Yarrowia lipolytica: one gene and its partner. The protein of the gene in region 1 interacts with the protein of each later gene in a pairwise test. Links are inferred from orthologs where the notes say so. Each region holds a gene or a part of one and is shown in the gene's direction. Other genes may lie near its edges. The genes, in order: YALI1_B07094g and YALI1_F14688g.

Evidence for each region.
Region 2: the proteins of YALI1_B07094g (region 1) and YALI1_F14688g interact in a protein complementation assay, tested with the Saccharomyces cerevisiae proteins (2 studies listed by BioGRID). The link is inferred for Yarrowia lipolytica from reciprocal best matches to the Saccharomyces cerevisiae genes ERG11 and STE24.

The regions. Positions count from the first base shown.
Region 1 is NC_090771.1:707,539-711,684, forward strand, and holds YALI1_B07094g (uncharacterized protein), read left to right. Parts: upstream 1-1,907; coding exon 1,908-3,479; downstream 3,480-4,146. Other genes in the region: YALI1_B07076g (uncharacterized protein), read right to left, coding at 1-140; YALI1_B07134g (uncharacterized protein), read right to left, coding at 3,612-4,146. UniProt on the Saccharomyces cerevisiae protein: Sterol 14alpha-demethylase that plays a critical role in the third module of ergosterol biosynthesis pathway, being ergosterol the major sterol component in fungal membranes that participates in a variety of functions.
Region 2 is NC_090775.1:1,466,771-1,471,218, forward strand, and holds YALI1_F14688g (uncharacterized protein), read left to right. Parts: upstream 1-2,125; coding exon 2,126-2,131; intron 2,132-2,601; coding exon 2,602-3,948; downstream 3,949-4,448. Other genes in the region: YALI1_F14712g (40S ribosomal protein uS15), read right to left, coding at 4,258-4,448. UniProt on the Saccharomyces cerevisiae protein: Proteolytically removes the C-terminal three residues of farnesylated A-factor mating pheromone. Also acts to cleave the N-terminal extension of the pheromone. Does not act on Ras.

The DNA.
Region 1 (4,146 bases):
AGGCCTTCGTCATAGTTGAGACGCTGAAACTCCTCGGACTGCTGAATCAGCATAGCAGTAGACCGAAGCTCCTCCTGAGCAGGAGCTGCGAGGGCCACAGAGCCCAGAATGGCAGAAATAGCGATTGTTGAGAGTTTCATGGTGAGTGGCGAGTGTAGTGTAAGTGGCACAATTAGATTATGCAAGTGCCATATGTATCAGATGTGGGGTGGTGGGTAGAGAGACCCTAATTAGGGAGTGTTAAATCGGGAAACAGCGGTTAGGTTTGACCCAACATCCTGATACGGTAATTTCAAATACCCTGGTCTGTCATCATCTTCCGAAGCTTCAAATATTCTCTTCCTGGACACTTTCCATCTTTATAATAGGCCATGGTCTCAATAAAGGTCACTGGGATTAGATTATGGAATGGCAACCAAGCTCTCAAGGGTTAGGGCAATCTGTCATGAGAGCGTTGACCCTGAAAAGTAAAGGTTGCTCACTACACCGACTTAATACCAAAACAGAATCTTAACTTGTGTCAATGATACTGTAGTGTGTTTGGAAACAACACCTGCGAACATGTTACAAGTACCGTGTACAGTAGCTACTTGTACATGTAAGCAATTCAGCTGATCGATGTTTGAAGTCTACAAGTAGTATGGTACAGCATTTAGGAGATTTAATTGCCGCAATAGTACTACTTGTAGAGTGCCGAAGAAGACGACTGAAATTGTAACTAACCCACAAGTAGAAAGTGAATTAATCCCATAAGTGGCTTTATTAATGAGGAGGGAAGGTAAGTATGATATACTATAGAGATACTAAAAGATGTACAGAGAGGTACTAAATCTTAACTTCGACGAATCAAACAAGTTACTACAAGTACATACTGTACTTGTAGATCAGTACGCCTTAAAAATCATCTTTATTAGTAATCATATGCACTGGCAAATCTCGGATCGGATAATCGGAGTGTCTCCGTAATCTTTGTTGCGATACTTGTACGCGTCAGTAGTTAGCAAGCTCGATACAGTTCATTGTGGATTTACTAAGCGAGCATTTCCATCCCAAGTAACCTTGTGTTTGTTTTATTAGTAATATTCGTGTAAGCGTACATTCATTTCAAAGGTTATTCTTTCACAGCAAAGTTATAATTAAATGAATGTATATGCAGAAAAAAAAGTTTACATACGCAATAACATCAGAAGTCTACAACCATTGTTTCTACAAGTACAAGTGCAAGTACACCCGTAAGGGTTGGCGAGCTCATTCTTAAATCAAGACTACTTGTAGTTGTAGCTATCGTGTACCACGTGGTGTCTTCGTGCGATATCAAATTTCCAGCATAGCCGCGTATGACAAGCACCATCGTTTTTGCATGTTAGGCTAAATTGCAGGCTGTGCACAGGCAGTGATTACTGTACTGTCTTATTGTGGTACGATGAGTGGACATGATATAGTACCACTGCATCTCTCTTGGTACAGAAGCTAACTTTGGCCCCTTACACACATTCCATGACGTGATGATTTCTCCATTTGAAAGGTGGTGTCATACCTTGCATAATCATAGCAGGGGGATCCATGAAGGATACCCCGAGCCAGCCATCGGCCTATATAAAATAACAAAATCCACTGGATCAGGACTGCTGCATCCTCAGGATTCTCACAGTGGTCCAAGTACATATTTTCCGAGCCCGTTACTTTTATTTCTTATTACCCCTATCCCTGGCATTATCGTCCATGTAATTGGACCGTTACATTTAGACACGATACATACGACATTAGCGAGCAGGTTTGGAAGAAAATAAGGTTTCGTGATTGTGGACGAGGTTCCAGAAGAGTTTAATTTATCCTTCCATTTCTACTTCATCTTGTCTGGTGCTCTCAACATCTACAACTGGTCTCTCACTCAAGTCCACCACAACATGATCATTCTCACGACGCTCAACAACATGGGAATTCCCGTGGAAGGCTGGCACATTCTTGCTGGCCTGGCCATCCTTGCTGTCATCACAGAGATCTACGTTATTGGGTCACAACTTCTGGCTCGACGAAACAAGACTCTGGCCCCTATGGCCTTCTACTGGATCCCCTGGGTTGGATCATCTATCCCCTATGGTATCGATCCCTACGAGTTCTTCGAGGACTGCCGAAACCGTTATGGTGACGTGTTTTCCTTCTACATGCTTGGTCGTGTCATGACCGTGTCTCTGGGCACTAAGGGCCACGAGTTTGTCTTCAACTCCAAGCTTGCAGACGTGTCTGCGGAGGAGGCTTACACTCACCTCACCACCCCTGTTTTCGGCACCGGTGTTATTTATGACTGCCCCAACTCTCGACTTATGGAGCAGAAGAAGTTTTGCAAGGGTGCCCTCACTCGTGATGCCTTTCGATCCTACGTTCCCAAGATCGTTGAGGAAGTCACCAACTTTTTTGCAGTTAACTTTGAGGGTAAGACCGGTAAGGCAGATGTCATGACCACTCAGCCTCAGATGACCATCTTCACTGCCTCTCGGTGTCTGCTAGGTGACGAGATCCGATCCAAGCTTAACGGTGACTTTGCCAAGCTTTACTCCGATCTTGATAACGGCTTCACTCCTATTAATTTCGTTTTCCCCAACCTTCCTCTGCCCTCTTATCGAAAGCGTGACCTCGCCCAGCAAAAGATTCGTGATACATACATGTCTGTCATTCAAAGACGACGAATGGAGAAGGACGTCCAGGACCGTGACCTCATCGACGCTCTGCTCAAAAACCATACTTACAAGGATGGTAAGCGAATGACTCCCCAGGAAATTGCCCACCTCCTTATCGGCGTTCTAATGGGCGGTCAGCATACCTCTGCTTCAACTTCTGCTTGGATGCTTCTCCGACTTGGTCTCGACCCTGCTATCCAGGATGAACTCTACCAGGAGCAAGTTGATATTCTTGGTGAGGCTGACGGATCATTCCGACAGCCTACATACGAGGACATTCTGACTATGACCAAGCTGCAGAATACCATCAAGGAGACGCTTCGTCTGCATATGCCCATCCATTCTATCTTCCGACAGGTCATGCGAGATCTGCCTGTCCCCGGTACCTCGTTTGTCGTGCCCAAGGGCCACTTTGTCATGGCCTCCCCTGGTTACTCACAGCAGGCCGAGCGATACTTCCCCAATGCCAAGAAGTTCGATCCTCGTCGATGGATGACTCCTACAGAGAAGATGGCCGAGTCCGAGACCGACGCTGAGGCCGGCGAGACTGTCGATTACGGATTTGGTGCCATCTCCAAGGGTGTCTCCTCCCCTTACCTTCCCTTTGGAGGTGGCCGACACCGATGCATTGGCGAGCAGTTCGCCAACTGCCAGCTCACCACCCTCATGTCTTGCTACATTCAAAACTTCAAGTGGACCGTCCCTGAGGGCTCAAAGCTTCCTGCTGTTGACACCACTTCCATGATCACGCTTCCTGTCCATCCCTCCTATATTGTGTGGAGCAAGCGAGAGCGTAACTAGATTATATGTAAAATAATACCTTCGGACTATATTAATAATAAACGAGTAATTGAACCTGCAGTTACATTAATTTTGACATTGACTATAAAACAAACCCCCGTCTTCTCCTTTCTATATTCGGCTTTTGTTAGTTTAGACCCCATAAACTCTCTTGGCCCCCCAGTAGGAGGCGATAGCAAAGAAAAACAGCGATGCCGTGATTCCCCAGAACCAAACGGTGCCTTTATGTTCTTGTCCAGGAACAATGACGTTCATACCCCATAGACCGGTGACAATGTTCATCGGAAGCACAATAGTACCGAGGACAGTAATCTTACCCAGTACATCGTTTGTATCGTTGTTGATCTTCGTCATATCGATATTGACTTGGGCCAGACAGTTGGAATGCGCTCGAGCAAGAATCTTTTCGAAATGGTTGACAGACTGAACCATAGTCACGATATGGTCCTGAATATCGCCCAGATAAAGGCCGATTTCACTTCGGGGTGCAACCTGCCATTGCTCATTGCACCGCTTCGCGAAGCCCTTGATCACATCAGCTTTGTTTCCAAGAAGCCGAGACAAGGACATGACCTTCTTTCGGGTCTCTCCAATTCGGTACAGATTATCACCCTTATTTTTCAGTCGAATGGTAGAGGTTGTGGTCGTGGATGACATGGAAGAGAGA
Region 2 (4,448 bases), on another chromosome or scaffold:
CTCATGGCAGGCATGGATCTGCTCACACCTACAGGACGAGTACGATACGACATCAGCTAATACCGGAAGCTCCAAGGGCCCATTTTTCCGATACGAGTAACCTTGACGACCTTGACGACATGGAGGAACAACCTTTGGCGGTTATGCAAAATGTCAGGTGGTAATAATAATGGAGAGGGGCGTGGTGATGAGACAGGTACGACCGCGGCACGTACGAGGGACAAGTGTTTGTACTGTACCTGTCAAACAAGAGACGCTCCAACGGCCGTGTGATCCGTCTATTGTGCGGTATTATTTACCATGTGGACAACGCCATGTGAAAAGAAGGTCCTTTCTCCTCCCCCTTCTCCTCCTTCTCCCCTCCTCCTCATCTGGCTGCCCACTTGTACTTGTTCTCTGTTCGGAACGGACGGGGGAACTGCACTTCGGGGGAGCACCGCTGCCTCACCGTGGCGTACAAGTATCCGCACAAGTAGCAAGAACAAGCACAAGCGGAAGTCAGGCCGTCCGTACATGTGGTGCGCGGAGGGTGAGGCAGACCTCAAACAAGCCAGGGTGCGTCTGGATGGCCATTTCCGGGGTCGGATTGCTTGAAAACAACAAGTAAGTCGTGACGTAATGAGAGACTTGGGCACCAGTGAGGTTACAGAAGGATGTGGAATGCGAGAATGAGTAAGATGCGATACTTTTACAATTCAGGACAACAGCTCCAGTCATTGTACGGTATGTACTGTACTCGTCTTGTATCAAGACCACGACAGCGACTGTCGTACTTGTACAGTATTACAAGTCACTTTGACCAGAATCAATCGTCTACGAGTGAGATGTACAGTATGAGTATGTACAGTACTTGTACCGCACGAGTACTTGTACCGCACTAGTACTTGTACCATACTCGTACCTCCAATCTCGAATGAGGGTGAAACGCCAAACAACCAGACCGACCCGTCAGGATACACAGTGTACGATACACTACACATTTGCCATACACACAGAAAACTCGGCAAAGACGCGCCTTGCTATGTCCTTGTGGAGTCGTATCCACGATATTTGCTCACTTGACGCAAACATTTACTCTCTGCACTCGACTAAAACGTCCAAACCTGCAACCTCTGCAACCCCAGCATCAAAAGTCACACCACCGGACGGATAGGGTTTCATTGTCGGAGGTGGAGAGCCTCGGAACGGAGATACGTCTGCTTACGTCACAGCCGACGGAGTTTACTGGAGATGGTGTCCTCTCAAGTATGCACCAATCCCTCTGAGCCGTCTACAAGTGCATGTGTTTGGTTGTATTGCACGAGTGTACGAGTAACGCTACAGCTACAGTACAACCTGTAAAGTAGTGGTTATGTACATACTCACCTTCATGACTCTCAGTGGAATTATGTCGACCTTCACGTGGGTTATTCGATATTAATCATCACCATGGTGATAATAATGACAGGAATGTCAATACAAGACCGTATAGACAAACCTCCGATCAGCTCATATGTACATCTCCCCAGCTTCGGAAAAATATTACTCCGGCTGCGAGAAATGTACGAAATTACGGTGGTGCACGAGTACAGGACTGATCCACTTGTGTTATTTTACTTGATTATTACTTGTATATATTATCATCAGCAATGACTGTCTGTACTGCAAGGACACAAGAAAACTTGCACAATTACTCGAAATATCAACAATCACGGACCACGCCATTCATTGAGAGCCACGTGCGGAAAGAGCCGTACCAACGGGGTATGAGCATTCCCTATTTCCCTTCATTATAGGGTTGATTTGGGGGTCGGAGCGTACACACGATGCCACCGTCAAAAGTGACCCTTTTTGTAACCAAAAAGGCACAAATCACATTTGGGTGCTACTCACGTGATTTACATACCTTCCAACTCCTTTTCAAAACCAATTTTCGTCCGTTCGAGCACTCTCTGGCGCTTTTCGAGCCACCCCACAGTACCGTTTTTCCGGACTTTATTTTAAAATATATCGTAAAAAGCTGGACCTATCGAAGTCCCCCCCAGTAATCAATGGGAAAATAAAGTTGCCTGAATAAACCACAATTGCCTATCTGGGCCTGCATGAATCCTCACAACACGCTGTTCTATTCCCCACCAACCACACGATGGAAGTGAGTATTTGCGCCAGACGGGCGTTTGCACCGACTACAAACACGACACACACACGTTGACGCGCCCCAACAGGCCCCAGGCGCGTTTCTACCGCCAAATTGACACTCTCCGCGATGGACTGCATGATGCCGGCGGCGTGGCGAACCTCACGACACAATGTGAGCCAAATCGAGCCAGTCGTCAAGATCAGTTGCCAGTGCCAGACCTGAATGCTGCAAAGATTTCGGTTGTGTGAGATACAGTTGAGCCAGCGTTTCTGATGGGATTGTGTCGCTAGTTGAAGTGGTGTTGTCAGTTGGTGGAGTATGATGCGGTCGGATACTAATTGTTATTGGTGGTCGTGTCGCTGGAAGCTGGCTCTATACGACCTGCTATATGATGCCACCTGTGCGACTGGCTGGCTCTATACCCTCATCTGAATTACTCAGTTGTCACTCTGACCATTCTCCTCCGTTCCGTACTAATCCAGCACCTTCGAAAACTCGACAGCCCCAACGTCCCATGGAGACAGATCATTGTGGGCACCGCCATTGGCGACTACCTGCTTGAGTCTTACCTTAACTACAGACAGTACCAGGTCTACAAGCGAACCGAGGTGCCTGCCAGCCTGCAGGGTATTGTCTCCCAGGAGAAGCTGACTGAATCCAACGACTACTCCATGGCCAAGATGCGGTTCTCCTTCGTCCACTCCACCTACTCCCTTGTCAATTTCCTTGCCACCATCCATTTCAACGTCATCCCCAAAATCTTCCATGTCACCAAGATGGGCTTCACAAAGAGAATCGCCCCCAAGCTTGCCGGTGCCACCTTCTTTGGTGCCAAGACCCTCCACAAGCTCGCCCTGTCAACCCCCGTTCACACCGCCTTTGCTTTCAACGTCTTTGGCCTCGTTAGCTCCCTGCTGGAGCTGCCTTTCTCTTACTACAAGAATTTTGTGCTGGAGAAGAAGTACGGCTTCAACAAGATGACCCCCAAGACCTTTGTTCTCGACTTCTTCAAGGAGCAGGCCCTCTCTTTTACCATCCAGGGTCTGTACATTGGCATCTTTGAGAAGATTCTGATCAAGTTTGGTCTGTCTTTCGTCCCCTACTTTACTGGCTTTGTTGTGGTTCTCCAGATTGTGCTTATGTACGCCGTTCCTACTCTGATCATGCCCATGTTCAACAAGTTTGAAAAGCTTGAGGACGGCGAGCTCAAGGACCGATCCGAGGCTCTTGCCAAGAAGCTGGACTTCCCTCTTTCCGACCTTTATGTCATTGACGGCTCTACCCGATCCGCTCACTCCAATGCCTTCTTCACCGGTTTGCCTTGGAAGAAGCAGATTGTCCTGTACGACACTCTGATCGAGCAATGCTCCACCGACGAGATTGAGGCCATTCTTGGCCACGAGCTCGGTCACTGGAAGATGAACCATATCCTGCAGACGCTGCTTGCCGGCAACGCAAACATTCTGACTCTGACTCTTGGATTCCTGGCGTTTGCTCACAACGACTCTTTTTACACCTCTCTCGGCTTCTTCAGCAACGACCGACCCGCCGCCTACCTGTTCAACACCCTTTATCTGCAGGTCATCAGCCCCATCCAGTACGGTGTCACCTTCCTGATGAACGGCATGTCTCGAAAGAACGAGTTTGAGGCCGACCAGTTCTCCAAGGACCTTGGCTATGGCGATGCTCTGGCCAAGAGTCTGATCACCATCCACCAGGAGAACCTCAGCAACTACGACGGCGATTGGCTGTACAACTCGTACCACCGATCCCATCCTCTGCTGCTGGAGCGACTTGAGGCGATTGGCTACAAGCCCAAGGCTCAATAAGTGCGCACTGTCGCACGGACTGAAGGAGATGTATAGTATGTAGTATAGTATAGTAAATAGTGATTCAACCGAATTATTGAAGAATGTAAAGTACAAGTAGTGGAGATTCTTTTAGGTCGACTCGACCGGAGGTTCTGGTATCCTCACATGTTTACTTCCTCTCATGGTTGTTCGGACGTTGTTCTCACTTCTTTTACAGCATGGTAGATAGAGTCGGAAACACTCGAACTACGTTCTCGTATTTCGTCCTGATGATAAATAGGCGCTAATGCATTTTCATTTTTATGTAAAGTACAACCACTAAACACTCTAGTTGACAAGAGCGGAAGCAGTGGCGGACTCGTACTTCCAGGTGGGGGGCAGAACACCAACAGACTTGTAGTATCGGGCAAGTCGGTGGATTCGAGACTCGATGAGAATGAGTCGGAACTTGGAGTCGGCGTCCTTTCGGTTCTTGTCGAGGTGCTTTCGCACAGACACAGCCTTCTTGATAAGGTGGT